Lytechinus pictus: one gene and its partner. Each later gene encodes a partner of the first gene's protein in a complex. Links are inferred from orthologs where the notes say so. Each region holds a gene or a part of one and is shown in the gene's direction. Other genes may lie near its edges.

Region 1 (3,932 bases):
CCTCTTAAAGGGAAATTTGCTATGTTGTATTGTTTGAAATAGGAGTTGTAAAGGAATTAAAGGGATGGTCCGGGCTGAAAATATTTGTATCTTAATACATTGAGTAGAATTCACTGAGCAAAATTCCAAAAAATTTCATCAAAAACGGATAAGAAAAAATAAAGTTATTGAAGTTTTAATTTTAGCAATATCTTGTGAAAACAGTCGTCATGAATATTCATTAGGTGGGCTAATGATGTCACATCTCCACTTTCCGTTTTCTTATGTTATTACATAAAATCATTTTTTTTTCATTATTTCATACTTGTGTGAATAATATGTCTCCCTTATAATGAAATAAGTTGCAGCAATAAATATCTAATGCACTAAATCAGTTGTCAATCCAATTTTTCTAGTTCTTGGAGGAAAAAAATTGAATAAACCTAATTTCATATAATGACATACAAAAGAACAAGTGGGGATGTGACGTCGGCCGACCTAATGAATATTCATGACGACTGTTTTCACAAAATATTGCGAAACTTTGAAATTCAATAACTTTGTTATCTGTTATCCGATTTTGATGAAATTTTCGGCATTTTGCTCAGTGAATTCTACTCTATTTATTAAGCTATAAATACTTTCAGCCCGGACCATCCCTTTAAGTGAAGGTTCTAGGAAATGCCAGACAAAAAAAAGGTGTGATTTGATAAAAAGAAGGAATTATTTTTTTGTTGAAATCTATAAATTAATGTTCCTGCTGTACAGAGGTTATGAATATAAAATTGTTACTGTTTTTTTACAATACAAGCCCCTCAACATCCCTTAACTGGGAGGCTGTTCACACTACGTTCCTAAAACTAGTTTAGTGGAAACTAGTTTAACGCGTAGTGAGAACGGTCGAAGCGATCTTCCAAACCGGTTTGGAAAACCACCTCGCGATGTAGTTTTCAAGATCGCTTTGCCTCGTTAAACTGGTTTTAGCGTAAGTGAGGACACAACCATTCTTCGGGAAGCGATCTTCGCACATTTTGAGCGCGCTACTCCACACGACAGGTGTAGAATGCCAATGCTGCGGTTTCAAATTTCGCGCGAAACATGTCACCCCTCTGAGAGCGTTTTCATAGCAACAAGAGCGCTTTACGTAAAGTGATTTTGAAAGCCACTTTCGTGTGATCAAGTGGGAACGCTAGCAAAGCGATCTTCCAAAGTGGTTTCCTGAATCGGTTTCCAGTAAGCTAGTTTTAGAAAGCGTAATGAGAACGGCCTCTGGTACTCTTTGCTATGTATAATATGCTTATTATTCCTGCAACAACTTCTAGTTTTAACCTTCAGTATACGTTTTTCTCATCTCACTATTTATTTTCATCCTTTTCTGACAGGGTTGTGATACAGTAGTAAAGGGGTTATTTCATCTTAAAAAGTCTTAGGTTTTTATTTTATTTTTGATCATTTTTAACTGTCTTAAATTATTTGAATCAATGTAAAGACACTTTCAATTGATAGCAAATGTACTGTAATTCAAAGCAAGTTGGTTTGAGAAACTGTCATTGTGAAAATGATATCTTCTTATGCAGACAAAATCAGACAGACACATGGCTTTGCCAAGGAGAAATGCAGGACGTCAGAGTACGACCGAATACTCCATTCTCTCCAATCTGGTCTCCCCAACGAAGTGGACTTCGCCATCAACATCTGCACGCTGCTCTCCAACGAAGGCAAGCACGTCATCCACTTGGAGAAAGCACCCATGTTCATTGACCTACTGCTCGCACATGCAGGCATCTTCTATGAAGGTATTAGAGATGATCTCCTGATATTTCAGGGATTCTTTTTTCTTTTAAATGGTTTTAGTGAAAGAAAAGTTTATTCCAAGACCCATATCACAAAGCTTAGTAATTTATCTATTGCCAACTCGTCCACTCATCACACGGTCTATCTTCATATAGTCTAATGCCATTCCTTCCATCAACATTTCGTCAACAGCCATTTGGTCTAATAACCATTTGGTCCAATCATCGCTTCGTCTAATCACCAATTCCTCTATGACTATTTCGTCTCCTAACCAGTTGGTCTGCTACCCATTTTATTTTCATTTATTTCACCCAATTAACACTTAGTCCAATTAGACCAGATGGTATATGGACTAAATGGCTATTAGACCAAGTGGCTATTAAAAGAAATGGCGAGTGGATGGAATGGAAACTAGACCATGTGGATATTGGACAAACTAATTGTAGCCAAATGATGGTAGACGAGTTGAGAATTGGACGAAGTGGCATTGGATCAATTGGAAGTTAACCGATTTATCATATAGATGATTTAGATGGTTGATTGATTGTAATGAAGCAGAAAAAATTCCTATGATTAAGCACTATGCTTTGTGTTAGATGGCCCCTGGCCCTGGGAAGTGTTTTATAAAGTGATTTGGGGAGAATTGATTGCATAGACCACAATGTACAATTGTTTGTGAAAATCACTCGCTATCGTTTGTGACACGGGACCCTGGCCTCCTTAAAGGAGAATCCAGTCCTGGTCATAATATGTTGTGTTTGAAAGGAGAAAAATAAATAAAACAGAATGGTGAAAGTTTGAAAGAAATCGGACAAGCAATAAGAAAGTTATGGCTGTTTTAAAATTGAGATCTCTAAGACTATGTAGATTTCAAATTGGCAGCTGGGTAAGTAAATTATGACAAGAGGCAAGGACAACTTTCCCATAGGCCATGTACTTTATTATCAGGGATTTGTGGTTTTCTCCCAAGTACCTATTCCCCTGGGGCTGTAATCTAAATATAGCCTAGGTAGTATATTGTTTTATGTCCTCATGAAAGAAAAATATAATTTGAGGTAAAACATTTGAAAAAAAAAATCAATTTTAGTCATTTTATGTATTGGAGTACATGGAAGAGTAGTCCTTGCCTTACATCACTTTGACATCACATTTGTTGCCAATTTGAAATCTCCACAGGTATAGTGATTACCAATATTCACAACTTTTTAAAATTCATAACTTTCCTATTGTTTGTCCGATATTGTTCAAACTTTCACCTATCAAATTGTCTGATTTTACTTTTTCCTCTAAAAGCAAGTTTTTATTTGGGTCTTTTAACCCTAAAATGGCCGGGGGGGGGGGTTGAATCAACCCCCCCCTCAACATTTTCTGCGATCATTCCGCCGCGCGAAATTTTTTGACCACGCCACTCGCAGAGTTTATACTTTTAAGTCTCGCGCATCTTTTGAGACCAAATTTACGACGCCCGGGTACGCGGTTCCGAAATTACGCAACATTTTGTAAGTGCATGTCAGACCAAAAATTGTTCCAAAACGTGATTTTGTGTACAAAGTCAATGCAAATTGAGTTTTCTCATCTTATTCATAAAGATATGATTATTTTTACTTTAAACAGCTGAAAGCAATTGACTTAAGCATAAGTATGCTTCAAAAAGGTTGTGCAATAAATCTGGTGAAAAAAACAAAGAAAAACAAAAGGTTGAAAAACAAAGAAATACATAAGAAATTCATAAAACAATAAAATACATAAAAAATTGATTTCCAAACCAAAGTTTTTTTCAATTGCCATTGTTAAGAATGCTACAAAGAATATTTTTACCAAAAATTAGCATTCTAGGAGCTTTATTTAGTGAATTAGAGCAAAAAGTATGATTTATGCATAAATTAGCATAATTAATTAATATAAAATAAAATCTCATTATTTTGGAAAATTTTACCATACAGCCTTGTAGATTACATCGCACGCTACCAGCGTGCAAATTTTTGTGGCGCTCGCGCGATCGGTGGCCGAGATCTCAGGGGGGGGTTGAATCAACCCCCCCCCCGGCCACAGAACAGCCAAAAAAGCCCGGCCTAGTTAGGGTTAAGATACGAGTTTCATTTTTTTCTCAGGACCTGGAAGTTTGAGGAAGCTATACGAAGAAGACTGGGTGGAGAAAA
Region 2 (3,932 bases), on another chromosome or scaffold:
GGAGGAAATCTACCAAGTTTCATATAATATATCCTCTTTTCTGGGAAATGAGAAAAAAAATCATGTTTTTGGTAACTGACGTTACATACCCTATCACATACTTCATCAATATTTCTTTATCAGACAAATTAATTACTGGTGTTTCTTTCTAGATGGGATTTGATAAAGTGTTATAATAGCAAGCTAAGGCAAAGGGAAAACATGATCAAACCTGTTCTTTAAAAATCTGTCAAAACAAAATATGTATCAATATACCATTTTCAACACTAATTTGTATGCATACTTTGGCGGCCATTTTGAAATAAAAAATGGCTGCCAGAGTCGGAAAAAAAAATTGTCCCAGAAACTTCAGGTCTTGTATTATTATAAAACATAATTCATTTGACATGAATATCAATTTGATTTTTTTGCCTCTGTGTCCATCTGTGGTGAAAATGCCCTAATGATCATCAAGAAACACATAAACTTTGCCGTAGATTTTATTACTTTATTTTAAGTTCTATATTTTTAGATGGTAATATATCAATCGATTGTCAAGAATACATGTTTTATAAGGCTTTTATAAATAATAATCTTCATCATGATTTCATTCAGATTAGTGTTTTCTTTTTCTCTCCGCAGATACAAATAAATTATTTACACCAGAAAATTAAATGTTTAATAGAGTTTGACTTTGATATTTTTTAGGCCTACTAGATCAACTACATCATAAAAATGTGTTTTTATTTGATTAATTGATTTAATAATTATACTGCATATATATATATATATATATATATATATATTATGTGCTCGCTAAGCCCCAGCGACACTCTTCTTTAAAAATGTATTTGGTATTCTCTGTTTGTCTTTTGTTCATCCTTCCTTTGTATACATTATATTTGTTGTGATTTGATATGTGCTTATATTGTAAATTGTTTTTACGTTTTTATGGAAATGTGGAAAAATACACCTTGAACTTTGAAATGTTAATGAAGGTGCATTTCCATATTTGCTCTTCACTGTTCTTCGTTGTTAATTATAAATCTTAGTCCTGGAACTTTTTCAAAATTTTGTTGTAAATTTGTTTATGCTCAAAATTTTTATTGGTAATCAGGATCCTCTGTGTTTTGATCTTTCAATATTTCTTTTGTTTTGTCTTACATGAAACAAAGAAGAATATATCTTAAGAAGTATGTCAAAGCGAAGAAGGTCAACCACTACTGATGTTAAAGATGATGATGATCTCCACACTTCTCCAACGTCTGTTGCTATCAAAAGAAGAAAGAGGTCCGTCAATGTCAATGATGCTGTAAGTATATGATTTCATCTTGAAGTATGATCTGTCAAAGCTTCATGGAGGTACGGATATTCTTTATTTAGTTTATTTGTTTCTTTGTTAACAATAACAATTTGATGAATATTTAATTGTTTGTTTCCAAAAGTGGAAGAGATGTCCGTGGCTATCTAGACTCATAAGCCCGTATTCTGAAGTAGAGTTTTACTTAGACCATGGTCCAACCCTGTAGTAATATTATGGGAAGCCAAAAATATTGTTTACATTGTATTTTTCTCATGTTTACCATGTTCTCTCTTAATTCTTTAATGGTGAAGGCAACTATGCTATTTACCCTCTCTGTTAAGAATGTTTTGAGAGTAAAATGAGCTAATAATTTGAACCTCTACTGTTTATGTCACATTTGTCTATCCATAGTTAAACCACAACTTAGACCAGAATACAGGTAATAGTCCCAATTCTCATGTCACATATTCATTTAATGACACACTTGCAGTCCAGCTGTTTGCAGTCTCACCTTTTTCCTCCTTTTCAATGTTTTTCCCGAAAGAATATCTTCCTTAAAATATCAAGATGGGAATATATTTTTTTCAGTCCTTCCACCCTTTATATAGAGTACCGTACTGGGAAGTGTCGCATAGCCAAATGCCTTTTCTGATGGCAGTCAAGGAAATTTGACATAAGAACAAACTTGATTTTTTCTCACCCAAAGTTTGCTTTAAATACTCAGGAAGTGTTCCTTTTTTAATGTCATTCAAGCTTGCTGTACAGCTTGTAAACTTAATATGAATATCCTTAAATTTATGGTTTATAGTGAGGTTCTCCTTTATAAGTTCATATTTAATGTAGTCCAATTTCATGGAAATGTGCTTTCCACCAGCATTACAAACATATGAAACACACATAGGATGCGAAAACATAGAAAAAAGATGGTGAACAATTATACAATACATTTAAAACAGACAAACAAAAGTATGATTATAAAGGAATTTATATTATTCATCCTACAAATGCGAAATTACAGCGTGAAAAATTTATATATTTGATTTTTTTTTTTAAAATACAGGGTGAAGTAATTCAGGAGTTATATGACATCATCAGAAACTACAAGAATGAAGATGGTAGAGTTATATGTGAAGCTCTTATCAGAATTCCCAAAAGGAGGTAAATATAATGAGTTCCTGATATTAAATTTATTATATCACTGGTTCTATCTTTTAGTGAAAGCGGTGAACATATCTGCAAATTAACTACATTGCTTTATAAGAAAAGGTTACATTTAATTTCTTTGAAAAATCCTCATTTTAATGTTGACTGTCTATTGACATGAACAGTTGTTTCGGTGTAGAAGAGCTTATTTAATTGTTTGATTTTGAAGTGTCTCAAGTTGTATAACAGTATATGGCCTGTTTTTTAAAGATAATTCATAATAGCGTTACCATGAATAAGACATTTGTGTGAAGTTCTCTTGGATTGAAACTAGAACAACTTTAAGATGAATGAGGGAACTGATGACAGCACTCACTCACTTTTTCTTTTGTATTTTATTATAAGAAATATGAAATACGTGTATTCTTATTTTCTCCTCTTTGTCCTGTGAAACAAAGTTTTATTTCTCACTGAACATGTGGAATTACCAATGTTTAACGTTATATGGTTCTGTCGAGTTGGTCCTTATTGTCAAATCTATAAAAATTGAAATATTGTATAATTCAAACAATAAAAAACAAGAAATAGTGAGTGAGGGACATCATCGATTTTCTCATTTGCATGTGACTAAATTTTGCATATAACTATTTTGTGAAAAATAAGCCAAACTTTGAAATGTCATAACTTTCTTATTTTACATCCGATTTTGATGAAATTTTCAGCATTATGCTTGTCTAATTTTTTTCTTTTGATTCAAATCAACATTTTTATGAGGTGGATGAGCATTTCATATGTCTATTTTGACAGGACTACACCAGAATATTATGAAGTGGTTTCTAACCCCATTGATATGCTGAAGATTCAGCAGCGTATGAAAACAGAAGAATACGACACAGTGGATGAAATGGTGGCTGATGTTGAGCTCATGGTTAATAATGCACAGGCTTACTATGAGGTAAGATATTTACATTTTACTGAAAACTAGATGAGAGTTTGTTAAATGAGATGTCAGAACTTCCCTTTCTGGATGATTTAAGAATTTGACAACTTGTTTATTTTGTTTTTTCCTTATATTAGGGTGATTGCATACACGGCTAAAACAAGTTTTAAAACCCTGCTTCCCACACAAAGCCCGATGCAACTTGTTTGTGCTCATGTGTTTCAGCTGTATTTATGTTGTACCACATTTATACTACAGACCATATTGCAGAACTTTTCAAAATTGATGTGGTTATTATTAAACTGGATAAATATTAATTTTGTGCTATTGTGCAACAAAAAATTCACAAAAATTCTCAAGGTCTCCATTCTTATATCCCATTGTTAGATTTTCATTAGGTAAAAAGGCTCTGAGAGGTATGAGAAAAAAATAAAGAAACTGAGTAATGTGTTTATACATTATTCAAGAATACATTTTGTCATACATCCTTGATTCTTGATCCGATATTCTGTGACAGTTTTCAGTACTGTACAAGCTGTTATTTTCGCGTACAGAAATTTTCGCGAA

Evidence for each region.
Region 2: AT-rich interactive domain-containing protein 2-like (region 1) and protein polybromo-1-like share a complex: the UniProt entries of both Homo sapiens proteins name them as parts of the SWI/SNF-B (PBAF) chromatin remodeling complex. The link is inferred for Lytechinus pictus from reciprocal best matches to the Homo sapiens genes ARID2 and PBRM1.

What each region holds. Positions count from the first base shown.
Region 1 is NC_087263.1:4,093,697-4,097,628, reverse strand, and holds the start of AT-rich interactive domain-containing protein 2-like, read left to right. Parts: upstream 1-1,456; 5' UTR 1,457-1,537; coding exon 1,538-1,775; intron 1,776-3,884; coding exon 3,885-3,932. UniProt on the Homo sapiens protein: Involved in transcriptional activation and repression of select genes by chromatin remodeling (alteration of DNA-nucleosome topology). Required for the stability of the SWI/SNF chromatin remodeling complex SWI/SNF-B (PBAF).
Region 2 is NC_087247.1:59,697,276-59,701,207, reverse strand, and holds the start of protein polybromo-1-like, read left to right. Parts: upstream 1-1,158; 5' UTR 1,159-1,174; coding exon 1,175-1,291; intron 1,292-2,342; coding exon 2,343-2,440; intron 2,441-3,232; coding exon 3,233-3,380; intron 3,381-3,932. UniProt on the Homo sapiens protein: Involved in transcriptional activation and repression of select genes by chromatin remodeling (alteration of DNA-nucleosome topology). Required for the stability of the SWI/SNF chromatin remodeling complex SWI/SNF-B (PBAF).